Anolis sagrei: one gene and its partners. The protein of the gene in region 2 interacts with the protein of the main gene of each other region in a pairwise test. Links are inferred from orthologs where the notes say so. Each region holds a gene or a part of one and is shown on either strand. Other genes may lie near its edges. The genes, in order: RFX6, DTX2, ABHD16A and ARNT2.

The links.
Region 1: the proteins of DTX2 (region 2) and RFX6 interact in binary tests that used the Homo sapiens proteins (3 or more experiments, as listed by UniProt). The two-hybrid records come from large-scale screens. The link is inferred for Anolis sagrei from reciprocal best matches to the Homo sapiens genes DTX2 and RFX6.
Region 3: the proteins of DTX2 (region 2) and ABHD16A interact in binary tests that used the Homo sapiens proteins (3 or more experiments, as listed by UniProt). The two-hybrid records come from large-scale screens. The link is inferred for Anolis sagrei from reciprocal best matches to the Homo sapiens genes DTX2 and ABHD16A.
Region 4: the proteins of DTX2 (region 2) and ARNT2 interact in binary tests that used the Homo sapiens proteins (3 or more experiments, as listed by UniProt). The link is inferred for Anolis sagrei from reciprocal best matches to the Homo sapiens genes DTX2 and ARNT2.

The regions. Positions count from the first base shown.
Region 1 is NC_090021.1:89,811,129-89,818,470, forward strand, and holds the start of RFX6 (DNA-binding protein RFX6), read right to left. Parts: upstream 3,018-7,342; coding exon 2,979-3,017; intron 1-2,978. UniProt on the Homo sapiens protein: Transcription factor required to direct islet cell differentiation during endocrine pancreas development. Specifically required for the differentiation of 4 of the 5 islet cell types and for the production of insulin.
Region 2 is NC_090031.1:32,855,651-32,863,570, forward strand, and holds the start of DTX2 (probable E3 ubiquitin-protein ligase DTX2), read right to left. Parts: upstream 3,022-7,920; 5' UTR 2,924-3,021; intron 1,217-2,923; 5' UTR 1,149-1,216; coding exon 860-1,148; intron 1-859. UniProt on the Homo sapiens protein: Regulator of Notch signaling, a signaling pathway involved in cell-cell communications that regulates a broad spectrum of cell-fate determinations.
Region 3 is NC_090022.1:20,738,778-20,746,255, forward strand, and holds the start of ABHD16A (phosphatidylserine lipase ABHD16A), read left to right. Parts: upstream 1-4,463; 5' UTR 4,464-4,510; coding exon 4,511-4,642; intron 4,643-7,478. UniProt on the Homo sapiens protein: Phosphatidylserine (PS) lipase that mediates the hydrolysis of phosphatidylserine to generate lysophosphatidylserine (LPS). LPS constitutes a class of signaling lipids that regulates immunological and neurological processes.
Region 4 is NC_090029.1:33,870,616-33,878,263, forward strand, and holds the start of ARNT2 (aryl hydrocarbon receptor nuclear translocator 2), read right to left. Parts: upstream 3,019-7,648; 5' UTR 2,814-3,018; coding exon 2,783-2,813; intron 1-2,782. UniProt on the Homo sapiens protein: Transcription factor that plays a role in the development of the hypothalamo-pituitary axis, postnatal brain growth, and visual and renal function. Specifically recognizes the xenobiotic response element (XRE).

The DNA of each region.
Region 1 (7,342 bases), on a different chromosome or scaffold from region 2:
CAGAATTAAATTATTTGAATATTCTGGATATAAAATATGGTAGGGCTTTTTCCTTTGCTGAATCCATTTTTCACCACATATGGGGTAAGGGTTTTTGTTGTAGAACTTTAGCACTACTTTTTTTGCATAAACAATTAATTGATGGTTCTGTGGTTACTACACCCCTGGTATTTCCTTTCTTGGGAAGTGGAATGTATATCCAGTGTTTCTGTAAGCTATTGTTTTGTTTCCCATATTTAGAACTAGAGTAAATGTTGTCCTTTAGCTGGATATTGGTGTGCTATCAGTTCCTGGTGATTTATTTCTCTCTAGTGCTCAGAGTGCAGTTTCCATTTTAATTTATAAAGTTATTGGCTCATCATCAGATTGTTCTTCCTTGAATGAATCTGCCATCCTTTCACGTCCTTTATATATTTTTTCAATGTATGGTTTTCATTGGCTTTTATTTCTACTTAGTCATGTAATGTCTTCCCCTGCTGGTTGTAGAGCATTCCCACTCTTGTTTTCAATTTCCGTGTTGTATGTCAGCCTGTGATTGTGTCTAATGATCAGGTTGTTTTGGATGATGGGAATGACAATGTTGTTCATGTTCAAGTTGATTCTTCTGATGGAAATGGAGATGCTGTCCATGAAGATGTTCCTGAAGGGAATGGGGATGACGGTCCGTTTCCTGGACCTGGTTTTAGACATTGGGGGGGGGGGGGGTCTGAATGCAGTTCAAATGATGGCTTAGAGAAGGCTTTATTGCTATAAGGGGATTCTCAAGGTCTTGAGCCTGAGAAAGGCTCTGCGCCGCAGTCCACTGGTCAGTTATCTCCAGGTGCAGATTTTAATGAAGGCTTGAACATAAGTGTTTTTAGCCAGCAAAGACAAACAAACCAGCAATTATGGCACTCAGCCAGATTACATCAGAAGTTAGAAGTGAAACTAAAGTTAAGGAAAAATCCATTCTTAGCTGTTTGTGAAATAGGGCAGGAACATAAGTGCCAAGTACAGAATCTAGCTTCAGATGAAGCAATGTTCAGATGAAGCAACTTGCTTCATGCCAAATTCCTGGACCCTTGTCTTTGTTTGATTCCTGTTTGAAGTGCCTTTGCTGTTATTTGCCTTTGAAATCAAGCATCTAGTTTCATGGACTTCTTTGGACTATCTCTCTTTGGACTAATTGCTCCTTTTTCTTCTTAATCAATTGGATTTACCTTTTGCTGTGGACTACTTTTTATTGCTTTGGCTTTTATTACATACAATAAACTGCTTGCTATTTGAACTAAACTGTGGTGTTTGAAGTCACAGGGGATCCTGCTCTGGAGTGTAACACTCCCTTTGATTTCTTGGATCTCGTGGAAGAGGTCTCTTGTTCTTTCTTTTTTTGTTGTCATCATTTATTTTTCTGAATTGATTATTACAGTACTTTTCCTTGTTCTTGTGCACAGAAATATTTTTAATTAATAAATAATAAGATTTCTTCCTTAAATAGTTCATTGTGTAGAATTCAAAGGCATTGCTATGTTTGTCTGGAATAGTATGCAAAGGGATCTTGTAATATCTTAGAGACAAGCAAAGAGAATGAAGTTGATACTAGTAGCACATGCTTTTGTAGGTTAAGTGTACAAAGGTTGCAACTGAGGAAGTAGACTGAGTGTACAAAAGTTTATGCACCTAATTTTGTTCTCATAGGCCCCTTCCACACTGCCCCTGTACCCAGGATCTGATCCCAGGTTTAAACTCGATTATATGAGTCTCCATGGCCAGATAATCTAGGATCAGATGCTGAGATACAGGGGCAGTGTGAAAAGGGCCTTAGACTCTAAGGTGCTGTTGTAATCACAACAGTGGTGCAAGTGGCTGGTTGAAACAGAACAAGCTACCAGAAGATAAGTGAGACATTAGCTGAGGTCTAAAGAGTCTGAGGCCAAGGAAACCAAATCAATAAGTCTGTTTAGGGTTGAGCCAGAAGAATAATGACAACAGGTCTGAAGTCAAATCCACAAAGGAACAAGTAAGTGTTGGAAACCAGGTCAAAACAGAGTAGTTTTCCACACCAGAGAAGCATCATGCAACTACTTGATTTATAGCTCTGGTTCCTCTTCTCAGCTGCTCCTTGATTTAGCAGAATTTTTCATAAAGTGGCACAACTTCCTGAACTCCTCTCTTTGCTGGTCTCTCTCTATCAATGTAGGCATTTTATCTTGAACTTTCTAGCTGCTTCTGGCTCCAGTTTCAGCCACGGGAACATCCACGGGCTTCACTGGCACTTCCATCTGCTCTTCCTCTTTGCTGTCTGAGCATAGTATGAGAGGTGCTGCAAGATCCCTTTGCATTCTTAAACTGTGAAAGATCCATGTAATAAATCTGGGCTAGTTGGGCCAATGGGAGGATTCAATACATGACAGCTTTCTATGCTGTGATATTTTTCTCTCCAACCCAGTTCTCAATCATGGAATGACCATTGGCTTAGAATCATAGAATAAGAGAATTGGAGGAGACCACATCAGCCATCTAGTCCAACCTGCTGCCATGCAGGAAAAGCGCAAAGTATCTCTGACAGATGGCCATCCAGCCTCTTTTTAAAATTTTCCAAGGAAGGAGGTTCCACCACACTCTGAGGCAGAGAGTTCCACTGTTGAACAGTTCGTACGGTGAGGAAGTTCTTCCTAATGTTCAGGTAGAATCTCATTTCTGTAATTTGAACCCATTGCTCTGAGTTCCGGTTTCCAGGGCAGCATAAGGAAGAGGTCTATTCCCTCTTCCTTATGACACCCTTTCACATATTTATACATGGCTATCATGTCTCCTCTCAACCTTCTCTTCTGCAGACTAAACATATCCAGCTCCTTAAGATGCTCCTCATAGGGAACGGTCTCCAGACATTTGATCATTTTAGTCACCCTCCTCTGAACACCTTCTAGCTTGTCAATATCTTTTTGAACTGTGGTGCCCAGAATTAGACACAGTATTGCAGTTGAGGTGGAACCAACCTGGACACAGAAATGCTGGACCACTTTCACAACCACCATGTCAGGCTACACAGAGAAGCCATTGAAATCCACAAGCATGTGGACAATTTCAACAGAAAGGAGGAAACCATGAAAATGAACAAAATCTGACTACAAGTATTAAAAAACTCTAAAATTGCAACAGCACAACAACAGAGAAGAAGCAGGCAGGGACATCTAATTACCTCTCAACAAAAGTTTGCCCCAGGCACAGTCAGCCCATTGTATGCTAATCAAGGTGGTCAGTTGAAACATTCACACCTAGCTCCAGCAGACAAGAGTCCTTTGTCTCACCCTGGTCACTCCACAGATATATAAACCCTTTTCCCTAGTTCCAACAGACCTCACTACCTCTGAGGATGCTTGCCATAGATGCAGGCGAAACGACAGGAGAGAATGCCTCTAGACCATGGCCATACAGCCCGAAAAAAACCTACAACAACCCAGTGATTCTGGCCATGAAAGCCTTCGACAATACATCAATACAATGATTTATTTTGTGGATAAAAAATCACCAGTAGATGGCATAGTTTAACAACATACTTCTTCCTTTGCAGCTTCTGAAGCAGAATAATGTTTTACTGATCTTTGGTGGGAGATCTGGAGGAATATTTGGAGTAGTCATGCAGCAAAATTAGAAAATGCACAAAACAAATAAGGACACTTCCCTTTTTGTTGCAAATACAATTGAAATTTTATTAATATTTAACTGTCATTGCTTGAACTCATGGCCATCCAATTACCTATTAACTGACAAAAGAAATAACATCTGATGCAAAATGTATGCCAAATAGACTAATATAATAACTTTATCTTCTCCTTTATGATTTTAAATACTTTAAACATGTTAAGCTTATCATATTTTACACAAAGGATAGGTGTTCAACCATCTTTAAGGGTAGCCCCCCAGAAGGTACATTGCTATAGCCCAAATGGGAGGTCTTCGGGGCATAGATTACCATGAAGTTAACCCTCTTCGGATATAATTGTAGCTAAGACACTGGATTGATTATGACCAACCCTTTTTTAAAATGAGGAAGTACAAGTTCTTGAGCTGTGTTGTGTATTCCATCCTCCACAAATAGACACTGCAGCTGAAAATGTTGTGTTTCTGAACTCTGGAAGACAAGAGCAAAACAGATGGCGTACTTCACTCATCTGTGAGTTTAACTTTTATATATATATAAGATTATTCACATTTTATTACTATGGCTTTTCTAGGAATATTATGGGACTCCAGTGCAACTCTAAGTTCAATTCCCACCGGAAGATGATCCTGAAATTGCACTGGAGTAGTGGTCTCCAACTTTTGGTCCCTTCAGGTGTTTGGGACTTCAACTCTGAGAAATCCCAGCCAGCTTATGAGCTGTTAAGAATTATGGGAGCTGAAGTCCAAAACACCTGGAGGACCAAAGGTTGGGAACCATTGCACTGGAGGACATAGAGGTTCCTAAATAAGAGTTCTTTTAGGTAGTGATTTTAATTTGCATTTTCCCAGCTTCCATTGCTTGTCAAGCAGAGCTTGTCCTGCTGCTGTAGCACTAAAGGAAAGAATGCTTCACCATGTTGGCTGAAGCTCACCACATTTTTTGTGTGTGCCAGGAGTGACTTCAAAACTGCAAGTTACTTCTAGTGTGAGAGATTTGGCCATCTGCAAGGAATGCCTAGATGTGGTGTCATCCCATGGGAGGCTTCTCTCATGTCCTCACATGGGAAGCTGGAGCTCACAGACAGAAGCTTACCCCACTCCCTGGATTCGAACCACCGACCTTTTGGTCTGCAGTCCACCTGGCACAACACTTTAACCGATTGTGCCACCGGGGGCTCCTATATTGTATGCTTACTACATACTACATATGCATCCAGGAAGAGAATGTGATGTGGATGAAATAATGGTAAAGGTGATGGGCAACTAGGGGAGAACGAGATGAGCAAAAAGGAAGATTTCCCCACACTTCACTAACCAGGTATCCAGAAGATTGCAAGGAATTTACAAGCACTAACATTTGCATTTAATTTATAAATCAAAATGCTGGCTAGCCAATACATTTCTATTACTTCACAGGCAGAGCATGGATTTCTTTTGGGGGGGGGGGGGGGGGTGAATTAATGCAATTTGACTCAACTTTAAGTGCCTTGGATCAGTTCTATGGAATCTTGGGAATTGCAGTGTGGTGAAGCACCAGCACTCTTTGGCAGAGAAAGCTAAAGACCTTGGAAAACTATAAATTTTATTCCACTAATACATGGTATTAGTACTATGGAATGGAATTTATAGTTTTCCAAGAACTTTAGCCTTCTCTGCCAAAGGGTGCGCCCACATTTTCTCCCACATTTTCTGCAAATGTTACCTTTCAAAAATTTCAAGAATGAAAAAGTTTCTAGAAGAAAATACTATTTCAAAATGGAGGTTTCATGTTTAAAATGGTAATCTGTTATAGCATTTTTTAAAACTATAAACTATATGCTATAGAAATGACTGTAATAATCATTAGGCAGAAAGCTCTGTTTTATCCATACAAACCTTTGTGGACTTCCATAGAGGAAACTGTATTGGGCAATGGCAGCTAGCATGGCAAAATCTTTTACATATTTTCTGAGAGATAGCAGTGGGGAGCTGAAGCAAATAATGGGGTAGAGATTACAGTGGAGTTGGTATAGCCAGGTCTTTGGGGGATTGGTTCAGTTGAATTCTGCCAGGAAAATGCCAAAAACTAAAGTCTTGGTTACCACCTGGGAGTTGTGTGATTCTAATTGAACCAACAGCACTATGCTACACTTAGACTATGCTAAGTTTATAGCAAATACGAAGGCTGTACAGATTATCATGGTTTTTCTTCTTCTATTTGTTCGAAAGTGAATGCATAAAAATAGCCAAACAGCAAAGAAGCTGTAGTATAGGGTGAGCAAACCATGAATTTGAAAACACTGGACTCAATTTTATTGCTAAGCCTAACTGGAATATGCCCGTTAGGTTTGTGCACTGAACCATTTTCCTTTGTTTCATCCATTCTTTTGTTACTTTTTACTTTAAGGTGCACGTAACAGGAAGCCCTCTCCCGGTATGAAAATGAACTCAACACGAAAGCAAGTGGGAACTGATCCTGGCTCTTTACTTTTTTGTAAGCAGCCTCCTTGCCTTGGAAAGAGTGTGTATGTGGTGTGCAGGCCCAGAAAGCGTGCACGTCTGCCTGCAGCCAAGCACCTCCTCTGAAACAGAACTTGTCTCCTTGCCTTGGAAAAAGTATGTGTGTGTATGGCATTCAGGCCCATAAAGCATGTGAGCCTGCCTGCAGCTGAGCGTCTCTCCTGTAGAGTAGAAACACTAACAGTTTAAATGCTTAAAGTGATGGGAAACGGAGCCTGGGAAGCCCCCTTTCCCCCATAATGGGCTGATAGAAAACGGATCTTTCAGCACCCCAGAGTGAAAACAGATATCTGCCCTCCAAATTTTGGGAGGTGCCCCCGAAAACCAGATCTGGATCCCTACCAGAAGTTGTCACACAAAATGGGTCAAGGTTTACCCATATTGCACAACCCTAATACCCATTGAATTGATGAGAGTTATTTATGTGCTTTCTAATCATTTTATAACTGAACATTAAGGAAAACTAATCAGGAGAAAATAATCCTGTAACTGTTTTACTAAATGCAGTTGCATTGGATTTATGTTATTTAAAACTTTAATTATTTGCATGCATACATTTCAAAAAGAACTGAGCTCAGTGATCCTTTGAGATGGAAAAATATGCAGAATTGGATTATATGTAAAAATAATAACATATTCAAACTCAAATTTAGAATTATTAATTTTAAAAAGAGAAGACAGAGTTAATATACTAGTTGGAAGTAACACCTCACAATTATTTAACTTAGTGTTATAGTGTTTCAATGTATTCTACTTCAATCTTTCTTCTTCTGCAAGTTGTACAAACATGTATACTTGTTATTCTCTCTGAGTCTGCACTGTCATAGAATCATAAAATCATAGAATCATAAAATCATAGAATCAGTGCAATAAGGCAGAAACAGGAAACCTTACCATACCAACTAGATTCAACATGGATGATTGAGATGATTTTAACCAGTGAATTTTAATGTCAAGATAAATTATTGTAATATATGTATAATCTATTTATATCCCAGCATTGAATGTTTGCTGTTTGTATGTTGTGCTCCACCCTGAGTCCCCTCGGGATGATAAGGGCGGAATATAAATGTTTTAAATAAATAATAATAATAAATAGAGTTGGAAGATACCTCATGGGCCATCCAGTCCAACCCCTTTCTGCCAAGAAGCAGGAACATTGCATTTAAATCACCCCCGACAGATGGCCATCCAACCT
Region 2 (7,920 bases):
ATAGCAATACAATCAAGCAAATCAAACAATTAAAACAAATTAAAGCAAAATAAACAACAAGCACAGTACATTAAAACACAATAAAACTGGGCCGGGCCAAAAGGTGGGTACAAGGATTAAAAGTGCTGATTTGACAGGAGGTGTATAAAGGGTTTCTAGGGCGAGTGCGATGTGCAATGTGCAGCAGTCATTGGTTCTGATAAAGTGCTTGTGGGACTCGGTAGTGGAGGTTTCCTAATCTGGGAAGGTGCATCGGAAAAGCCAGGTTTTTAAGTTCTTTCTGAAAATAGCCAATGAAGGGGCCTGTCTAAGGTCTTTGGGGAGGGTGTTCCAGAGTTGGGGGGCCACCACGGAGAAGGCCCTGTCCCGCGTCCCCACCAAGCGTGCTTGCGACGCCTGTGGGATCACGAGCAGGGCCTCTCCTAATGACTGAAGAGAACGTGTGGGTTCATAGATGGAAATGCGGTCATGCAGGTAGGCTGGTCCCAAACCGTTCAGGGCTTTGTAGGTAAGCACCTGCACCTTGAATTGAGCTCGGAATATAAACGGCAGCCAGTGGAGTTCCTTAAACAGGAGGGTTGACCTCTCTCTGTAAGGGGCCCCAGTTAACATCCTGGCTGCTGATCGTTGGACCAGTTGGAGCTTCCGAGCCGTCTTCAAGGGCAGCCCCACGTAGAGCGCATTGCAGTAATCCAATCTGGAGGTGACCAAGGCATGGACCACTCCGGCCAGATCCGCCTTTGCTCTATTATTACTGTTACTGCATTTCCATTTTTTTACTCAGCAGGCGAACCATCAACACGCACAAGTCACACTGTTTACCGATTGGCTAGGAGATGGAAGTCCCTGTGGACATTACCTGTATCTTGTCGGAACTGCGTCAAACTGGGGATGTCGATGACGTAGGGGGCCAAAGCAGGGTCCGCTTGCCCCAGGGGGATGCTGCCTTGCAAGGGCCAGGTCCCCAGCGAGCGCCGGCCCTTTGCCGCCAGGGCTTGGAAGGACTGCTCGATGTAGCAGCACACCCCACTGCAGTACGGCCTCCAGCGCCCACACTCGTCCTGCCACTCCCACACCGCGGCCCCCGGGTCCGGCGGAGGAAGAGGAGGAGGCCCGACAGAGGTCCCTGGCAAGGCGGCCATTTTCATACCACCACTTGAACCACGGAGTCTTCGGGACTTCAAAGCATCGCCGCATCAACATTCATCTTCGACGTCTAGAAGCAGAACAGGGAAAAGGAAGGAAAGGCCAAGCGTGACACTCCATCCGCGAGAGAATTTTCTCCCTGCAGGAGATCCCGAGTTCGCCCTCCACACACAGTTATTACATGATTTTTGTTCCTGTGCTACCAATGTTGTTTCCTAATTGGTTCTATCATAAAGTCATGGGAAAACGTTGATCCAACTGCCAAAACTTTGTTGTTGCAAGAGAGACATCCTGCAGCACATTTTGCGACAGTTTTTCTATAAATATCTCAACACAGAGTCTCAACCGATTCAACCCGAACGACACTGCCACACAATGGAATGGCTAAAACACCAAAGTCAAAATATTATCAGAATTTAAGTTATTCAGCCAGAAATTGAAAAGAATCGTATAGGCTCTTTATTATTATTATTATTATTATTATTATTATTATTACTATTTGATTAATACATCTGTACTGCAGAGCTAAGGCAGTTGGATATATATATATATATATATATATTACATTACAGTAGCATTATAATGCTACTGTAATGTAATATATATATATATATATATAAATATATATATATATATTACATTACAGTAGCATTATAATAAATTATAACAATATTATAATATATAATAATATGATATATAATATTAATTTAATAATTACTATTACTATTTGATTAATACATCTGTACTGCAGAGCTAAGGCAGTTGAATATATATATATATATATATATATACACATATATAATAGTAACATAATAAATTATAATAATATTATAATATATAATAATAATATAATATATAGTAATATTAATTTAATAATAATAATTACTATTTGATTAATACATCTGTACCGAAGAGATAAGGCAGTTGGATATATTATATATATATATGTACATATATTATAGTAATATTATAATAAATTATAACAATATAATATAATAATATGATATATAATATTAATTTAATAATTATTATTATTACCATTTGATTAATACATCTGTACTGCAGAGCTAAGGCAGTTGGATATTTTATATATATATATATATATATATATATATATATACACACACACACACATATTATAGTAGCATTATAATAAATTATAACAATATTATAATATATAATAATATTAATTTAATAATAATAATAATAATAATTACTATTTGATTAATACATCTGTACTGCAGAGCTAAGGCAGTTGGATAATATATATATATATACACACACACACATACATACCCACATATATAAAAGTGTTATAATATAAATTATAACAATATTATAATATATAATAATAATATTAATATATAATATTAATTTAATAATAATAATTACTATTTGATTAATACATCTGTACTGCAGAGCTAAGGCAGTTGGATATATATATATATATATATATTAGTAACATTATAATAAATTATAAAAATATTATAATATATAATATATAATATTAATTTAATAATAATAATTACCATTTGATTAATCCATCTGTGCTGCAGAGCTAAGGCAGCTGGATCCCTGTTTCACAGGCCTGCTGGCTCAAGGCTCCTGGGTGCTGGGAGTTGTAGTTTGCCAAGGCCTTGGGCCTTTCCCCACCGAAGAGAGGCCTGTTGCCTCTCCCAAACTACAAATCCCAGGATCCTGAGGCAGCCCCAGTGGGGCCTTCTCCCCGCTGCGGCCCGCCCCGAACTACAACTCCCACCCCCCGCAGGCCCCTCACCTTCCCTCTGCCTGTTGCCAAGGAAGCGCCTCTCCAAACTCCCTGGGCCTCCTTCTCCAACGGCGGAAGTGCCGGGGCGCCCACTGCGCATGCGCGCGCTCCTTCCGTTCCCGAAGGGCGCATGCGCATCCGAAATCGCGGTGCCTGATGGGAAAAGAGGCGCAAAATGGCGTCGGTTTGGTTTCCTTTTCAGGCCTAAGAAGTTCCTGAGCCAGGAAAGAGACATTAGAGAAGGCCCACACGAGCAGGGATGGTCTGCCCAAAACAAGACGCTTTTGAGCCAGGAAAGAGACATTAGAGAAGGGCCACATTAGTCCAGAAGGTCTAATGAGGACTCCCATGTTCTTCAGTGGGAGCTTGAGTGGAATTCCTCTCATTTAGGAAAGAGGAAAAGGCAGAGGAAGGAGAGACCCAATTACCAATATCCAGATCCTGGAGAATGGAGAAAGGCAGGGAGTTTCAGAAAAACATCTACTTCTGCTTCATTGACTATTCTAAAGCCTTTGACTGTGTGGATAAGAAAAGGCAAAAGCTGCACATCGCAAGTGCTGAACCTGACTCAGCACATAGAAGATGGCTTTGAAAGGCAGCAGATCACAGGAGCTGTCTTCATAGACCTGTCAGCAGCCTATGATACTGTGAACCACCACCGCCTCCTCCTGAGAAAAATGTATAATATCACCAAGGACGACCACCTCACCCGCCTCATAGGAAACCTGCTACAAAACAGGAGCTTTTTTGTTGAGTTCCAGGTCCAGAGAAGCAGATGGCGGAAACAGAAGAACGGCCTGCCTCAGGGGAGTGTACTTGCCCCATCCATGTTCAACATTTACACAAATGACCAGCCACTGCCAGAAGGGACGGAGAGCTTCATCTATGCTGATGATCGTGCCATCACCGCTCAAGCAGGGAGCTTTGAGATGGTTCAACAGAAGCTCTCTGAAGCTCTAGGTGCTCTTACTGCCTATTACAGGGAAAACCAGCTGATCCCCAACCCATCTAAAACACAGACATGTGCTTTTCATCTCAAGAACAGACAAGCATCCCGAACTCTGAAGATCACCTGGGAAGGAATCCCACGGGAGCATTGCAGCGCACCCAAATACCTGGGAGTCACTCTGGACCGTGCTCTGACCTACAAGAAGCACTGCCTGAATATCAAGCAAAAAGTGGGTGCTATAAACAATATCATACGAAAGCTGACTGGCACAACCTGGGGATCACAACCAGACACATGTGTTCCACACTGGGCATGCGTACTCAACAGCAGAGTAGCAAAGCACAAGGGCAAATGTCTTCACTGTGTCTGGTTGTGATCCCCAGGTTGTGCCAGTCAGATGTTATTTCTAGCACCCACTTTTTGCTTGATATTCAAGCAGTACTTCTTGTAAGTCAGAGCAAGGTCCAGAGTGACTCCTGGTACTTTGGTGTGCTGCAATGCTCCAGTGGGATTCCTTCCCAGGTCATGCTCCGAGCATGAGATGCTTGTCTGTTCTTAAGGTGAAAATAACATGTCGGTGTTTTAGCTGGATTAGGAATGAGCTGGTTTTCCCTGTAATAGGCAGGAAGAGCACCTAAAGCTTTGGAGAGCTTTTCTTCCACCATTTCAAAGCTACCTGCTTGAGTGGTGATGGCATGATTGTCAGCGTAGATGAAACTCTTTATCCCGTCTGGCAGTGGCTGATCATTTGTGTAGATGTTAAACACTGATGGAGCAAGCACGCTCCCATGAGGCCGGCCATTCTTCTGTTTCCGCCATTTGCTTCCCTGGCCCTGGAATTCAACAAAAAAGCTCCTGTTTTGTAGCAGGTTTCCTATGATGCGGGTGAGGTGGTCACCACTTGGGCAGTGATGGCACGATCGTGTTATTTGTTTTATTTATTATTTTATTTACAACATTTATATGCCAACCTTCTCACCCCACAGGGGACTCAGAGCATAGTACAATATCGGTATAATATATTACTATATTGTACTATACCATTATATTGTAATATTAGTAGTAATATTACATGTAATATAAATATATAATTAAATATATAATTATAACATCATATTATTATTAGTAGTAATATATTGCATTGCAGTGCTTCTTGTAAGTCAGAGCAAGGTCCAGAGTGACTCCTGGTACTTTGGTGTGCTGCAATGCACCAGTGGGATTTCTTCCCAGGTGATCCTCTGACCTTGAGATGCTGGTCAGTTCTGAAGGTGAAAAGCACATGTCTGTGTTTTAGATGGATGAGGAATCGGCTGGTTTCCCATGTAATAGGCAACAAGTTGTATAAGTTATGTTTATAACTCCGTTGTTGGGACGTTTGGTTAGCCGTAATACAAAAGAAGTTACTTCTTTTCACCCTGCAAGAAATCAAACAAGACCGGAAAGACTGGGGTGTGCACCTTTGCAGAGAATTGCAGAGAATTGTCACCTGTGTATCTCATTCACGCTCCAAGCATCCGCTGTGGGTCTCCTGCAGAAGATACTTGGCACGATCCAGACCCCCTTTTCAACATTGCGCCCTTGAGGCGGCAGCAGCCGTTGCTCTTCTCCACCAATTGGCGCAACTGAACAAAGGCCATCTTGTTCTCACGCAGCATATGTGCAGCTCAGAAATATTTTCTCTCGTGGGACGGACATGATCTTCCCTTGAAGGGGAACTCTCGGTTGGAACAGTCAGTCAGTGAAGAGCGATGTCCTTTGTTGTTCTCACTTGCTATCACGTGAACTTTGACTTATAGTGGCCCTGCGGAGAGTTGGAAGAGACCGCATGGACCATCTAGTCCAACCCCCTTCTGCCAGGCAGGAAAAGCACAATCAAATCATCCCTGACAGATGGCCATCCAGGCTTTATGTAAAAACCTGTCCTCTGGGGTCTTTGCCCTTTCTCCCAATTTGCTGTCATTTGCAGACTTGACCGGCGTGTCGTCTGTTCTGTCGTCCAAGTCTTGACTTTGGTATTCAGTGATCTGTCTTGACACATGAAGATCTTACCTCATTCCTTCAGAGCTGGCCTTCCAGATCTTAAATCTTCTTGCATCAGGCTCTATGTTCATGAAGGACTGAGCCAAGGTATAGAAAAGCTTTTTAACTAGAGTGTTACCTCACTTATTGTGGGTGTTACGTTCCAGGACCACCGCAAAAAGTGAAAATCCGCAAAGTAGGGATGCTCTATCTCTCTCTCTCTTGTTCGTCGTTGGCAGATATGTATTCAATTGTCTGGTGTTTATGTGGAAAAGTGAATAGTGGTAGTTAAAGAGCACATTCTGCGGATTATTTCTGCGTTGGATTTATTAAAATATTCCCATCCAAACCCAAGTAACAAAGGTGGAGGCATTACTTTTCATTCAACCCTCGTACATGACCAACAATGACTTCCTCTCCATTGAGACACGTTCCTTACAGAAGAAGAAGAAGAAGAAGGGAAGGGAGCGGGGAAATGGGTCCACCTTGTCTCCACCGTCCTCCAAGGTCTGTCATCGCCTTGGAGCAGGTACAAATAGTCGGCTCTTGCCTTCCTTTCCCTCTCTTTGGAAACCTGACCCATTCTCTGGAGAAGGATGTCTCTTTGAAGGTGTCTCGGTCGAACCTCTCTGCAGGTTTCGGTCCGTTTGCTCCCCCAAATCTGCATCCAAACGATGCTCTCCTGCAAGTTGGCTTTAAGCCTTGAAGCTTCCTGCAATGGGAAAGTGGGACCCCACGATTGACGGATGAGGGACTTTTCTCGGCGCCTTGTGTTGCTTTGCAAGGAAAGCAGGACGAAGAAGAAGAGGAGGAGGAAGAAAAGTCTGGAGCATCCTTGCGCATAAAAGAAAGCATTCGCCCTGTGTATTTTGGTTTCTCTCTCCTCCCATGGACTCCTCTTTCCCTTTGATTCTGCATCACCAAATATTCCATTTGGGAAGGTAACCCTGGCATCCTTTCGAAAAGGGGAACGCGGAACGGCCCAAGAGGTAGGTGCCTTGATCCTGAACCACTTTTCTCAACCTACCAAATAATAATATTGTGCATACAGTAGGTTGTTGTAAGTTTTCCGGGCTGTCTGGCCATGTTCTAGAAGCATTCTCTCCTGATGTTTCGCCTGTGTCTTTGGCAGGCATCCTCAGAGGTTGTGAGGTCTGTTGGAAACTAGGCAAGTGGGGTTTATATATCTGTGGAATGGGAGAAAGAACTCCTGTCTGTTGGAGGTAGGTATGAATGTCTCAATTGGCCACCTTGATTAGCATTGAATGGCCTTGCAGTTTCAAGATGTAGTTTCTTACTGCCTGGAGTAATCCTTTGTTGAGAGGTGGTTAGCAGTCCCTGATTGTTTCTCGTCTGGACTGTCCAGGGTGGGAGAAAGAACTCTTGTCTGTTGGAGGTAGGTGTGAATGTCTCGATTGGCCACCTTGATTAGCACTGAATGGCCTTGCATTTTCAAGGTGCGGCTTCTTACTGCCTGGGGGAATCCTTTGTTGAGAGGTGATTGTTTCTTGTCTGGACTGTCCAGGGTGGGAGAAAGAACTCTTGTCTGTCGGAGGCAAGTGTGAATATTACCATTGGCCACCTTGATTAGTATTTAATGGCCTAGCAGTTTCAAGGGGTGGCTTTTTCCTGGAGGAATCATTTGTTGAGAGGTGATCAGCTGCCCCTGATTGTTTCTTGTTTGGCGTTTATATATCTGTGGACACTCCAGGTTGGGAGAAAGAACTCTTGTCTGTTGGAGGCAAGTGTCAATGTTGCCATTGGCCACCTTGATTAGCATTTAATAGCCTAGTAGTTTCAAGGCATGGCTTCTTACTGCCTGGGGGAATCCTTTGTTGAGAGGTGATTAGCTGTCCCTGATTATTTCTTGTCTGGGGTTTATATACTGTATGTATTACTGAATGTATACACGTGTGTGTGTATGTGTATATATATATATATCTTGGGCTCTCTCACTGAAACCATCTGCATCCTCTCCCTGCCTCGCTCTCCTCGCACACAGCCCACAACTGGCACATTGACCTATGGGGGTGAAAAA
Region 3 (7,478 bases), on a different chromosome or scaffold from region 2:
CAGGCACTTCTGCTGTCTTCCTTCAACTACAAGACTTTATTTGCTTTGTTATCAAAATACAATGCTGAGGCACAAAAGGAAGGCCAGGAATAGTTACTCCAAGCCCTATCGGCACGGCACACTTCCCGAGGAGCCTAGTTTGAGCGGCTTATCAAAAGAAACATGGATTGATATAATGAAAGGGAAGGGAAATTATGGTATATGAGTTAGTTTTAATGATGTCTTGAGCATTTCCCAGCTTCTCCTCAGGTTGTGCCACTCAACTTTTGTATATTATTTCTAGCACCCACTTTTTGCTTGATAGTCAAGCAATGCTTCTTGTAAGTCAGAGCACAGTTCAGGGTGACATCCAGGTATTTTGGTGTGCTGCAATGCTCCACTGAAATTCCTTCCCAGGTAATGGGATTCCTTCCCAGGGCTCAGAGCTCAAGATGCTTGTCTGTTCTTAAAATGAAAAGCACACCTCTGCTTTTTAGATGCATTAGGAATCAGCTGGTTTTCCCTGTAATAGGCAGTAAGAACACCTAAAGCTTCAGAGAGCTTCTGTTCAACCATTTCAAAGCTCTCTGCTTGAGCGGTGATGACACGATTGTCAGCATAGATGAAACTCTCTGTCCCTTCTGGCAGTGGCTAGTCATTTGTGTAAATGCTAAATACTGATGAAGCAAGCACGCTCCACAGGACAAGCCCTTCTTCTGTTTTTACTATCTGCTTCCCTGATCTTGGAACTCAACAATGAAGATTTCATATGAAGCAGATGAGGTGGTAGCCCTCTATGATATTATAATTTTTCTCAGGAAGAGGAGATGATTTACAGTATCATAAGCTGCTGTCAGGTCTATGAAGACAACTCCTGTAATCTGCTGCCTTTCAAAACCATCTTCTATGTGCATCTTCTATTTGTGTAAATGTAGCAAGCATGCTCCTCTGAGGCAGACCATCCTTCTTTCTTCCAATAGTTAAACAACCAGATAATGAAAACAACCACCTTTGTGAACCTTTCACAACCACTGAATTGGAAATGGCTCTCAACAAATGTAAAATGGCAAAGCAGCTGGCTTGGACGATCTGCAGATGGAACAAATTAAGAACTTTGGTCCAAAAGCAAGATGCTGGCTGCTGAAGCTGATGAACAACTGCATTGCATCCTATCGGATCCCCAAAATCTGGAGGAAAGCAAGTCATAGCCACTTTGAAACCAGGCTAAAACCATTATGATCCAAAAAGCTATAGACCAATCTCCTTGTTGTGTCATCTTTATAAGGTTCTGGAGAGAGATATTTGCATAGAATTATGGAAAAATATACCTGTTTATGATTCCACAGCAAGCTGGTTTTAGGAAAGGGAAAAGCTCCACATCACAAGTGTTGAACCTGACTCAGCACATAGAAGATGGTTTTGAAAGGCAGCAGATCACAGGAGTCGTCTTCATAGACCTGTCAACTGTTTATGATGTTGTAAATCACCGCCTCCCTCTGAGAAAAACATATAATATCACAAAGGATAACCACTTCATTTGCTTCATAGGAAATCTACCCCATAGCATTGAGCCATGGCAGTTAAAAGTGGTGTCAGACTGCATTAATTCTACACTATATATGTATTAATTAATTAATTTCATGCTTTATCTCTCCATATGGAGACTCAAAGCGGTGCACAATCAAAAACATTACAACTTAAAATATACATATATACAATAATAGACAATATATATTATATATTATTTTATATTATTTTACTGACACAAAAACACAGTATGTCACAACAAACAAGATATATATGCTGGATTTCGTATCACAAAATCACAAGTTAAATACTTCCCAAGCATCTAGGACTGTGTGGTGTATTTTTGAATGATGTGCACAGATCCAAGTAAGGTGGCTTTTTGCGGTTGATAGATCGTGATTTTGTCAATGTTTATTATATATTTTTATTTTATTCCTTCATCACATTATTTTGCATCTGTTTATTGCATTTTCTGTTATTTTATGTATTTTGTTTTGATGCTATTATTTGCTGTTTGTATTTTATTTTATTTTATTGTACTGTAATTCTGGGCTTGGCCTCGTTAGCCGCCCCGAGTCCCCTTTGGGGAGATGGTGGCGGGGTATAAATAAAGATGGTGATGATGATGATGATGATTATATATTATCAGTAGTAATTATATTTAATATATTAGCATTACTATATTACAATAACATTATTATATATTATATTGTATTATTAGTAGTATTTATATTGTATTATATATTATTATCAATATATTTATATACAATATATTACATCATTAGCAAAGCACAATATCAGTATTATTTATTACTATATTGCACCATAATACTGCAATATTATTAGTAATATTACATGTAATCCATAATATACAATTATTATATTACTATATTGTACTATATTAATATACTACAGTATATAAAACATTACCTGTATATTATACTATTATATAATATACTGTACTATATATTAACTTGTAGTATATATAATATATTGTATTATTATTAGTATTATATTGTATTATAATCAATATTATATTTATATGCAATATATTACATCATTAGCGAAGCACAGTATCAGTATTATTTATTACTATATTGTACCATTAGGCTATACTGAAATATTAGGTTCTTGTGGGTTTTTTCGGGCTATAGAGCCATGTTCTAGAGGCATTTCTCCTGACGTTTCACCTGCATCTATGGCAAGCATCCTCAGAGGTAGTGAGGTCTGTTGGAATTAGGACAATGGGTTTATATATCTGTGGAATGGCTGGGGTGGGGCAAGGAACTCTTCCCTGCTGCAGTTAGGTGTGAATGTTTCAACTGATCACCTTCATTAGCATTTGAAGGCCTGCCTGAGCCTGGGAAAATCTCTTGCTGGGAGGTGTTAATCTGTGCCTGGTTGTTTCCTCTCTGTTGTTTTGCTGTTGTAATTTTAGAGTTTTTTAATACTGGTAGCAGATTTTGTTCATTTTCATGGTCTCTTCCTTTCTGTTGAAATTGTCCACATGCTTGTGGATTTCAATGGCTTCTCTGTGTAGTCTGACATGGTGGTTGTTGGAGTGGTCCAGCATTTCTGTGTTCTCAAATAATATGCTGTGTCCAGGTTGGTTCATCAGGAGCTCTGCTATGGCTGACTTCTCTGGTTGAAGTAGTCTGCAGTGCCTTTCATGTTCCTTGATCCATGTTTGGGCATTGCTGCGTTTGGTGGTCCCTATGTAGACTTGTCCACAGCTGCATGGTATACGGTAGACTCCTGCAGAGGTGAGAGGATCCCTCTTGTCCTTTGCTGAACGTAGCATTTGTTGGATTTTCTTGGTGGGTTTGTAGATTGTTTGTATGTTATGTTTCCTCATCAGCTTCCCTATGTGGTCAGTGGTTCCCTTGATGTATGGCAGGAACACTTTTCCTCTGGGTGGATCTTCATCTTGACTCTCGTGGCTTGTTCTCGGTCTTGCAGCTCTTCTGATGTCTGAGGTGGAGTATCCATTGGCCTGGAGAGCCCAGTTGAGGTGGTTCAGTTCATCTTGAAGGAGGTGGGGTTCGCAGATTCTTTTTGCACGGTCTGCCAAGGCTTTAATGGTGCTTCTTTTTTGACTTGGGTGATGGTTGGAGTTTTTATGTAGATATCTATCTGTGTGTGTGGGTTTTCTGTAAATGGTGTGACCCAATTGTTGATCTGGTTTACGGATGACTAGGACATCTAGAAAAGGCACTCTTCCTTCATTTTCTTTTTCCATGGTGAACTGGATGTTTGGGTGGATGCTGTTAAGATGGTCCAGGAACCTGTTGAGTTCTTCTTCTCCATGGCTCCAAATGGTGAAGGTGTAATCCACATATCTGAACCATATCGTGGGCTTTTTGGTTGCTGTCTCCAGGGCTTGTTTTTCAAAGTGTTCCATGTAGAAGTTAGCTATGACCGGGCTGAGAGGGCTCCCCATAGCTACTCCATCTTTCTGTTCGTAGAATTCATTGTCCCACTGAAAGTAACTGGTGGTGAGGCAATGGTGGAACAGAGCCGTGATGTCTTCTGGGAACCTCTGGTTGATGAGTGCCATGGTGTCTGCTACCGGGACCATGGTAAATAGAGATACCACATCGAAGCTGATCAGTTTGTCGTTGGTCAACAATATAATATATTGTATACTATTATATTATTATATTGTACTATATTAATATACTACAGTATATAAAACATTACCTGTATATTATACTATTATATAATATATTGTACTATATATTAACTTGTAGTATATATAATATATTATGTCTTAATTACAGCATTATAATTATACAGATGCACTCAGACAGTACGAAAACTTGGGCTGTCTTTTGTATTTCCCGCCTGCTGTTGCATCACAAACCAGAGGCTAGGCTAGCGTTCTGGAAAACCAAGGCACCTTTTTGTCCCTTTCCCCTCCCTGTAGGAAACCCGGAAGTGCGGCTCCCCCCTGTCCTCGCTCCCTCCTCCCTTCCCCGCTGCCCGGCTTCGGGTCCGTCCCAAGATGGCGAAGTTATTGAGCTGCATCTTGGGGCCAAGGCTGTACCGGGTTTATCGAGACAGGGACCCTCCCAGGATCCGCCGCCTCCGGGATGTGGCCGACGACCCAACGCAGCCTCTCCTGGAACCCTCCTGGGTGAGTCCATTAACCTTAATCCCTCCCCCCGTTGAAGATTTGGTATGTCCCACGTCCCCCTTTTGTACCGAAGCTGGCGGGCTGAACCATTACAGCAAGGAGGGGGAGGACTCTATTGGGCGAGTCCATTACTTTCTTTTCCTCTGTACCCCCTGGTGAAGACTTGGTCTATTCCAAGTCACTCTTTTACAGTGCTTGGAAGGCTGAACCATTACAGTAAAACGGGGGCCACTATGAGCTATGTAAGGGGTGGGATTATTCTGACCTTTTGAAAGAGATAATGGCAAAATAGTACAAACAAAGGAGGTTGTAGGAGGAATGAAAGAAAAGGGTGAGGCTACACCTAGCTCATGCGTGGCTTTTATGGTTCTTTTGTTATACTTCCTCTTCTCCACCCTCAATTGTGTTGCCACCTTCTCCTATAATCATAGTATAATAGAGTTGGAAGAGGCCACATGGGCGGTCTAATCCAACCCTTTGCCATACAGGAAAAGCACAATCAAAGCACCCCCGACAGATGGCCATCCAGCCTCTGTTTAAAAGCTTCCAAAGAAGGAGCTTCCAACACACTCCTATGGCAGAGAGTTCCACTGCTGAACAGCTCTCACAGTTAGGAAATTCTTCCTAATGAATTCTTCCTAATGAATATACCATGAAAATGAACAAAATCTGGCTACCAGTATTAAAAAACTCTAAAATTACAACAGCAAAAGAGCAGAGAGGAAACAACCAGGCACATCTTAACACCTCTCAACAAAAGATTCCCCCAGGCTCAGCCAGGCCTTCAAATGCCAATGAAGGTGGTCAGTTGAAACATTCACACCTAGCTCCAGCAGAGAAGAGCTCCTTGCCCCACCCCAGCCATTCCACAGATATATAAACCCATTGTCCTAATTCCAACAGACCTCACTACCTCTGAGGATGCTTGCCATAGTTGCAGGCGAAACGTCAGGAGAAAATGCCTCTAGAACATGGCCATATAGCCCGAAAAAACCTACAACAACGCAGTGATTCCGGCCATGAAAGCCTTTGACAATACTTTAACACATAATATAAAACAATAACAAACGTCAGGAGAAAATGCCTCTAGAACATGGCCCTATAGCCCGAAAAAACCCACAAGAACCTAGTAATTCTTCCTAATGTTCAGGTGGAATCTCATTTCCTGTCATTTGAACCCATTGCTCTGAGCCCTAGTTTCCAGGGCAGCAGAAAACAAGCCTGCTCCCTCTTCCTTATGACACCCATTCACATATTTATACATAGCTGTCATGTCTCCTCTCAACCTTCTCTCCTGCAGGCTAAATATGCCCAGTTCTCTAAGACGCTCCTCATGGCAATTCATGGTCTCCAGACCTTTGGTCATTTTAGTTGCCCTCCTCTGGACACCTTTCAGCTTGCCAATATCTCTCTTAAATTGTGACTAAAATTATAGAATCATAGAATTGGAAGAGACCTCATGGGCCATCCAGTACAACCCCCTGCCAAGAAGCAGGATTATTGCATTCAAATCACCCCTGACAGATGGCCATCCAGCCTCTGTTTAAAAGCTTCCAAAGAAGGAGCCTCCACCACACTCCGGGGCAGAGAGTTCCACTGCTGAACGGCTCACACAGTCAGGAAGTTCTTCCTCATGTTCAGATGGAATCTCCTTTCTTGCAGTTTGAAGCCATTGTTCCATTGCGTCCTAGTCTCCAAGGAAGCAGAAAACAAGCTTTCTCCCTCCTCCCTGTGGCTTCCTCTCACATATTTATACATGGCTATCATATCTCCTCTCAGCCTTCTCTTCTTCAGGCTAAACATGCCCAGCTCCTTAAGCCGCTCCTCATAGGGCTTGTTCTCCAGACCCTTGATCATTTTAGTCACCCTTCTCTGGACACATTCCAGCTTGTCAATATCTCTCTTGAATTGTGGTGCCCAGAATTGGATACATTATTCCAGGTGAGGTCTAACCAAAGAAGAATGGAGAGGTTCCATGACTTCTCTCATTCTAGACACTATACTCCTTTTGATGCAGCCAAAAATCTCATTGGCTTTTTAAGCTGCCGCATCACACTGTTGGCTAAGGTTCACGATGTTGTCTACAAGTATTCCAAGATCTTTCTCACATGTACTGTTGTCGAGCCAGGTGTCACCTAGCCTGTATCTCTGCATTTCATTTTTTTCTGCCTAAGTGTAGTACACTACCATATAATGGAGATTATCAAAGCAGATAACCCAGATTGTCTGTTTTGAACTGGTTTATCTGAGTCTATACTTCCATATAATCCAGTTCAAAGCAGATAATCTGGATTTTATATGTAGTGTAGAAGAAGTCTCTGGGGATCAGAGTTTGAGTCCCTGCTCAGCTGTTAAAACCCATTGGTTGACCCTGGGCAAGTCACGTACTTTTATTTCAGAAAAGTTGATAGATTGTCTTTGTTGTTTTGTGTCTTCAATGCTTCATCTGTTGGGGGTGCTTATATTTTCCTTTATGGCGTGGGATTCAACTAGATGGATGGTCCTTGTGGTCTTTTCCACTTCCAGGCTTTTAAGGCTTCTTCTACCCAGCCATATAATCCAGATTATCAAATCTACACTACCATATAATCCAGTTCAAAGCAGATAATCTGGATTTTATATGGCAGTGTAGAATTTGCCTTAAAGTGCATCTACAGTGTGAAATGGGTGCAGTTTGACACCACTTTGACTTCCGTGACTCAATGTTATGGAATCTGGGGAGTTGTAGCTTTACTAGGTATTGAGCCTTCTCTGACCAAAGAGTGCTGGCGCCTCATCAAACTACAATTCCTGTGATCCTATAGCACTGAGCTATGGCAGTCAAACTACTTTCATT
Region 4 (7,648 bases), on a different chromosome or scaffold from region 2:
GGGATACAAATATGCAAAATAAATAAAAAATAAATGGATAAACATGAGGCAATGATGTGATGCAGCAGCTTAAAAGGCCAATGCGATTCTAGGCTGAATCAATAAGACTACAGTGTCTAAATCAGACCTAGGCATTGTAGGCAAACTTGGGCCATCTCTCCAGGTGTGTTGGACTTCAACTCCTACTATCCCTAACAGCCTCAGGCCCTTTCCTTAAGCGGCTGAGGGGGAAAAGGAAGGGGCCTGAGGCTGTTAGGAATGGTGGGAGTTGGAGTCCCCCTTTCCTTTTCCCCCTCAGCTGCTTAAGCAGTTCAATATAAGCAGGTGTGCATGTAATTTAGTAGCCCTCAGACTGAGAGAAACGCCTCAGTGAGTGAGGCATTGGTCTGACAGAGCCCTCATTGTGAGGAAGACTTCAGTAGGAGAGAGGCTTCAGTGGGAGAGACGCCTCAATGGGAGAGAGGCCTCAGTGTGAAAAGGAATGGGCCTGAGGGTGTTAGGAATGGTGGGAGTTGGAGTCCCCCTTTCCTTTTCCCCCTCAGCTGCTTAATCAGTTCAATATATGCAGGCGTGCATGTAATTTAGTAGCCCTCAGACTGAGAGAAACACCTCAGTGAGTGAGGCATTGGTCTGAGAGAGCCCTCATTGTGAGGTAAGCTTCAGTGGGAGAGAGGCCTCAGTGGGAGAGAGCCCTCATTGTGAGGTACGCTTCATTGGGAGAGAGGCCTCAGCGGGAGAAATGCCTCAGTGTGAAAAGGAAAGTGCCTGAGGCTGTTAGGAATGGTGGGAGTTGGAGTCCCTCTTTCCTTTTCCCCCTCAGCTGCTTAAGCAGTTCAATATAAGCAGGCGTGCATGCAATTTAGTAGCCCTCAGACTGAGAGAAATGCCTCAGTGAGTGAGACATTGGTCTGAGAGAGCCCTCATTGTGAGGAAGACTTCAGCAGGAGAGAGGCTTCAGTGGGAGAGAGGCCTCAGTGGGAGAAATGCCTCAGTGTGAAAAGGAATGGGCCTGAGGGTGTTAGGAATGGTGGGAGTTGGAGTCCCCCTTTCCTTTTTTCCCTCAGCTGCTTAAGCAGTTCAATATAAGCAGGTGTGCGTGCAATTTAGTAACTCTCAGACTGAGAGAAACGCCTGAGTGAGGCATTGGTCTGAGAGAGGCCTCAGTGTGAAAAGCAAAGTGCCTGAGGCTGTTAGGAATGGTGGGAGTTGGAGTCCCCCTTTCCTTCTCCCCCTCAGCTGCTTAAGCAGTTCAATATAAGCAGGCGTGCATGTAATTTAGTAGCCCTCAGACTGAGAGAAACGCCTCAGTGAGTGAGGCATTGGTCTGAGAGAGCCCTCATTGTGAGGTAGGCTTCAGTGGGAGAGAGGCCTCAGCGGGAGAAATCCCTCAGAGTGAAAAGGAAAGGGCCTGAGGCTGTTAGGAATGGTGGGAGTTGGAGTCCCCCTTTCCTTTTCCCCCTCAGTTGCTTAAGCAGTTCAATATAAGCAAGTGTGCATGTAATTTAGTAGCCCTCAGACTGAGAGAAACGCCTCAGTGAGTGAGACATTGGTCTGAGAGAGCCCTCATTGTGAGGAAGACTTCAGTAGGAGAGAGGCTTCAGTGGGAGAGAGGCCTCAGTGGGAGAAATGCCTCAGTGTGAAAAGGAATGGGCCTGAGGGTGTTAGGAATGGTGGGAGTTGGAGTGCCCCTTTCCTTTTTTCCCTCAGCTGCTTAAGCAGTTCAATATAAGCAGGTGTGCATGCAATTTAGTAACTCTCAGACTGAGAGAAACGCCTGAGTGAGACATTGGTCTGAGAGAGGCCTCAGTGAGAGAGAGGCCTCAGTGTGAAAAGCAAAGTGCCTGAGGCTGTTAGGAATGGTGGGAGTTGGAGTCCCCCTTTCCTTCTCCCCCTCAGCTGCTTAAGCAGTTCAATATAAGCAGGCGTGCATGTAATTTAGTAGCCCTCAGACTGAGAGAAACGCCTCAGTGAGTGAGGCATTGGTCTGAGAGAGCCCTCATTGTGAGTTAGGCTTCAGTGGGAGAGAGGCCTCAATGGGAGAGAGCCATCATTGTGAGTTAGGCTTCAGTGGGAGAGAGGCCTCAGCGGGAGAAATGCCTCAGTGTGAAAAGGAAAGTGCCTGAGGCTGTTAGGAATGGTGGGAATTGGAGTCCCTCTTTCCTTTTCCCCCTCAGCTGCTTAAGCAGTCCAATATAAGCAGGCGTGCATGCAATTTAATAGCCCTCAGACTGAGAGAAACACCTCAGTGAGTGAGGCATTGGTCTGAGAGAGCCCTCAGTGAGGCAGGCCTCAGTGGGAGAGAGGCCTCAGTGGGAGAGAGCCCTCATTGTGAGGTAGGCTTCAGTGGGAGAGAGGCCTCAGTGGGAGAGAGCCATCATTGTGAGGTAGGCTTCAGTGGGAGAGAGGCCTCAGCGGGAGAAATGCCTCAGTGTGAAAAGGAAAGTGCCTGAGGCTGTTAGGAATGGTGGGAGTTGAAGTCCCTCTTTCCTTTTCCCCCTCAGCTGCTTAAGCAGTTCAATATAAGCAGGCGTGCATGCAATTTAATAGCCCTCAACTGAGAGAAACACCTCAGTGAGTGAGGCATTGGTCTGAGAGAGCCCTCATTGTGAGGCAGGCCTCAGTGGGAGAGAGGCCTCAGTGGGAGAGAGGCCTCAGAGTGAAAAGGAAGGGGCCTGAGGCTGTTAGGGATGGTGGGAGTCGGAGTCCAACACACCTGGAGGGCCCAAATCGGCCCAGGCCTAGCCTTCAGAGCCCGTCTCCATGGCAACGCTCCTCTACTCACCCGAGGGGTTCACAGCGGCCGGCGCGGCCATTTTGCCTGGGGCCCAATTCGGAACCTGGCCAGCGAAGGACCCGGATGCAGGGCACCCACAGCGGAGGCCCCCGTCCAGATGCGGGAGGGAGAGCGGCCTCGCCGGCTACACGAAGGAGGGCGCCTCGGTTCTCCTCATACTGCCCAGGATGCCCGGCCCGAGGAGGAACCCTCCCCGCCCTCCGCGCCCTCCCCTCTCATTCCCCTCACGCTCCGCGCCCCCTCCTCAGCCGGACTGCGCATGCGCCCAGCAGCACCTGGGAACGAAACGTCCCGCCCCCTAGCGGGCCTCCCATTGGCCTTCGCGCGGCTCTCCCGGCCCTCTGATTGGTGGGATGGGCTCTGCTTGGCTCTGTGCTTTTGGCTCCAATGGGTGGTTCTTCAGCGCCCCCAGTGGCCACACCCGGAAGTTACACCTTTTCACTATATTGAAGGGGAAAAATGCAAAAACTATGAATTTTAGTTTTTAGAATTTAGGAGCCCCCGGTGGCGCAGTGGGTTAAAGCGCTGAGCTGCTGAACTTGTTGATCGAAAGGTCGCAGGTTCGATTCCGGGGAGCGGCGTGAGCTTCTGCTGTCAGCCCTAGCTTCTGCCAACCTAGCAGTTCGAAAACATGCAAATGTGAGTAGATCAATAGGTACCGCTCCGAAGGGAAGGTAACGGCGCTCCATGCAGTCATGCCAGCCACATGACCTTGGAGGTGTCTACGGACAATGCCGGCTCTTTGGCTTAGAAATGGAGATGAGCACCACACCCCAGAGTCAGACATGACTGGACTTAATGTCAGGGGACTACCTTTACCTTTACCTATGAATTTAGTTCAAAATCTTAAAAGAGGATGCTGTCAAGGTGATGCATGCCATATGCCAGCAAATATGGAAAACATCAGAATGGCCATCAAACTGGAAGAAATCCACTTCTATCCCCATACCAAAAAAGGGAAATGCGAAAGACTGCTCCAACCTCCATACAGTGGCCTTTATTTCTCATACCAGGAAGGTAATACTCAAGATCCTGCAAGGAAGAAGACTCCAGCAATACATGGAGCGAGAGTTGCCAGATGTTCAAGCTGGGTTTAGAAAAGGCAGAGGAACCAGAGACCAGATTCCCAATATCCGGATGCTGGATAATGGAGAAAGGCAGGAAGTTTCAGAAAAACATCTATTTCTGCTTCATTGACTACTCTAAAGCCTTTGACTGTGTGGATCATCATAAATGGTGGCAAGTTCTTGGTGGGATGGGCATCCCAAGCCCCCTTCCCTCTCTCCTGAGGAATCTGTACAAGGACCAAGGAGCAACAGTCAGAACTGACCACGGAACAGGAGACGGGTTCAAGATTGGGAAAGGTGTATAGCAGGGTTGTATCCTCTCACCCATTCTATGCAACTTGTATGCAGAACACATCATGCGAGTATGTGCGGGGCTTGATGAATGCAAGGCTGGGATGAAAATTGCTGGAAGAAACACGAACAACTCAGATATGCAGATGACACCACTTTGATGGCCGAAAGCGAAGAGGAGCTGAGGAGCCTTCTAATCAAGGTGAAAGAAGAAAGCGCAAAAGCCGGGTTGCAGCTAAACGTCAAAAAAGCCAAGATTATGGCAACAAGAATGATTGACAACTGGGAAATAGAGGGAGAAAATGTGGAGGCCGTGACAGACTTTGTATTTCTAGGAGCAAAGATGACTGCAGATGCAGACTGTGGCCAGGAAATCAGAAGACGCTTCCTTCTTGGGAGGAGAGCAATGTCCAATCTCGATAAAATAGTGAAGAGCAGAGACATCAGACTGGCAACAAAGATCCATTGCCTAGTCAAAGCCATAGTCTTCCCTGTAGTCACCTACGAATGTGAGAGCTGGACCTTAGGGAAGGCTGAGCGAAGGAAGATAGATGCTTTTGAGCTGTGGTGCTGGAGGAAAGTTCTGAGAGTGCCTTGGACTTTGAGAAGATCCAACCAGTCCATCCTCCAGGAAAGAAAGCCTGACTGCTCTCTAGAGGGAAGGAGACTAGAGACAAAGCTGAAGTCCTTTGGCCACATCATGAGGAGACAGCAAAGCCTAGAGAAGACAATGATGCTGGGGAAAGTGGAAGGCAAAAGGAAGAGGGGCCGACCAAGGGCAAGATGGATGGATGGCATCCTTGAAGTGACTAGACTGATCTTGAAGGAGCTGGGGGTGGTGACGGCCGACAGGGAGCTCTCGCGTGGGCTGGTCCATGAGGTCACGAAGAGTCGGAGACAACTGAACGAATGAACAACAACAACATGAATTTATATTGATTGTGTGTATTGCTTTATATTGTACATTTATGATACAACTAGCTGCTCCTGCCATGTGTTGCTGTGGCCCAGTCTGGTGATCTGGAAAATAAAGTAATGAGAAAGTGTTGGTTTCTAATATATGCAATTTCTATATGCTTGTGAGTAAACAGTATTTCTTGTTGTTTCTTTGTCAGTGTTGATGTGGAGAGTGTCTGGTTCGCCTACTCTGGAATATGCAACATATCATAGTCCTTCTTTAAGGGTCCTTTTCAGATCTATGATACTATATCTGTGTGTGTGTGTGAGAGAGAGAGAGAGAATCATATCTATCTATCTATCTATCTATATTTATGACTGGATGGCTCTTTGTCAGGAGGGCTCTGATTACATTTTCTTACCCTGGTGAAGGGAGTTGGACTGGATGGCCTTAAGTATTTTCTGTTGGTCATGGGGGTTCTGTGTGGGAAGTTTGCCCCAATTCTGTCGTTTGTGGGTTTCAGAATGCTCTTTAATTGTAGTGAACTATAAATCCCAATAACTACAAATCCCAAATGTCAAGGTCTATTTCCTCCAAACGCCATCTGTGTTCATATTTGGGCATATTGAGTATTCGTGCCAAGTTTGGTCCAGATCCATCATTGTTTGAGTCCACAGTGCTCTCTGGATGTAGATGAACTACAACTCCCAAACTCAAGGTCAATGGCCACCAATCCCTTCCAGTGTGTTCTGATGGTCATGGAAGTCCTGTATGCCATGTTTGGTTGAATTCCATCATTGGTGGAGTTCAGAATGCTCTTTGATTGTAGGTGAACTATAAATCCCAGCAACTACAAATCCCAAATGTCAAGGTCTATTTCCCTTAAACTCCACCTGTGTTCATATTTGGGCATATGGAATATTCATGCCAAGTTTGGTCCAGATCCATCATTGTTTGAGTCCACAGTGCTCTCTGGATATGGGTGAACTACAATTCCCAAACTCAAGGGCAGTGTCCACCAAACCCTTCCAGTTTTTCTGTTGGTCATGGGAGCCCTGTGTGCTAAGTTTGGCCCAATTCCATCATTGGTGGAGTTCAGAATGCTCTTTGATTGTAGGTGGCCCCTCAGCTGTGGAACTCCCTGCCTAGGGATATTAGATCAGCCCCCTCCCTCCTGACTTTTCGGAAGAGAGTAAAGACCTGGCTCTTCGAGCAAACATTCGGAACCCCGGAATAGATAGTCAAGCTTGAGATGGAGAATGACCCAGGAATGGCCAAGACAATGAAACGGATGAGGATTGGTTTGGAACGAGAGGACATAGCTCTTTTAAAACTGCTATTGTCTTTTTTTTGTCTAAATGCACTTAATTGTTTTTGTTTTGTGAATGTATGTATTGATGGCATTGAATTGTAGAAATGCCCTGAGTCGCCTGCAGGCTGATATGGGCGGGATAGAAATAATGTAAATAAATAAATAAATGGTGACGGGGTAAAAATAAATATTATTATTGGAAACACAACAAGATGAGTCCACAGCAGACACACTGCTGGCTGTTGCATTGGATCACACGTCGGACACTTCCCAAGTGTCTAGGACTGTGTGATGTATCGGCAAATAATGCGTGCAGATCCCAGTAAGGTGGCCTTCTGCAACTGGCTGATGGTCATTTTGTCAGCGCTGATTGTGTTTAAGTGCAGGCCAAGGTCTTTAGGCACTGCACCCAGTGTGCCGATCACCATTGGGACCACCTTTACTGGCTAGTGCCAGAGTTTTTGCAGTTCAATCTTTAAATTCTCATATCGTGTCAGCTTTTCCTGTTGTTTCTCTGCAATCCTGCTGCCACCTGGGATTGCGACATTGATGATCCATACATCATCATCATCATCATCATCATCATCATTATTACACTGCCCTGTATCCCAGGATCTGATCCTGGATAATCCACTTTGAACTGGATTATATGAGTCTACACTGCCTGATAAACAGATAATCTGGGATGAGATCCTGGGATAAAGGGAAGTGTAGATCCAGCCTGAGAGGAACATGAGAGCCATGTATAAATATTTGAAAGGGTATCGTGTTACCTGTTAAATATTTGACAGGCTTCTTTTCTTCTGCTCTGGAGACTAGGACACAGAGCAATGGATTCAAATGGTAGGAAACAAATATTTAACCTAAACCAGTGTTTCTCAACCTGGGGGTCGGGACCCCTGGGGGTTCGCGCGGGGGTGTCAGAGGAGTCACCAAAGACCACCAGAAAACACAGTATTTTCTGTTGGTCATGGGGGTTGTGTGAAAAGTTTGCCCCAATTCTATCGTTGGTAGGGTTCAAGGGGCTCTTTGATTGTAGGTGAACTATAAATCCCAGCAACTACAACTCCCAAATGTCACGGTCTATTTTCCCCAAACCCCACCAGTGTTCACATTTGGCCATATTGACTATTTGTGCCAAGTTTGGTCCAGATCCATCGTTGTTTGAGTCCACAGTGCTCTCTGGATGTAGGTGAACTACAACTCCAAAACTTAAGGTCAATGCCCACCAAACCCTTCCGGTGTTTTCTGTTGGTCATGGGAGTTCTGTGTGGCAGTTTTGGTTC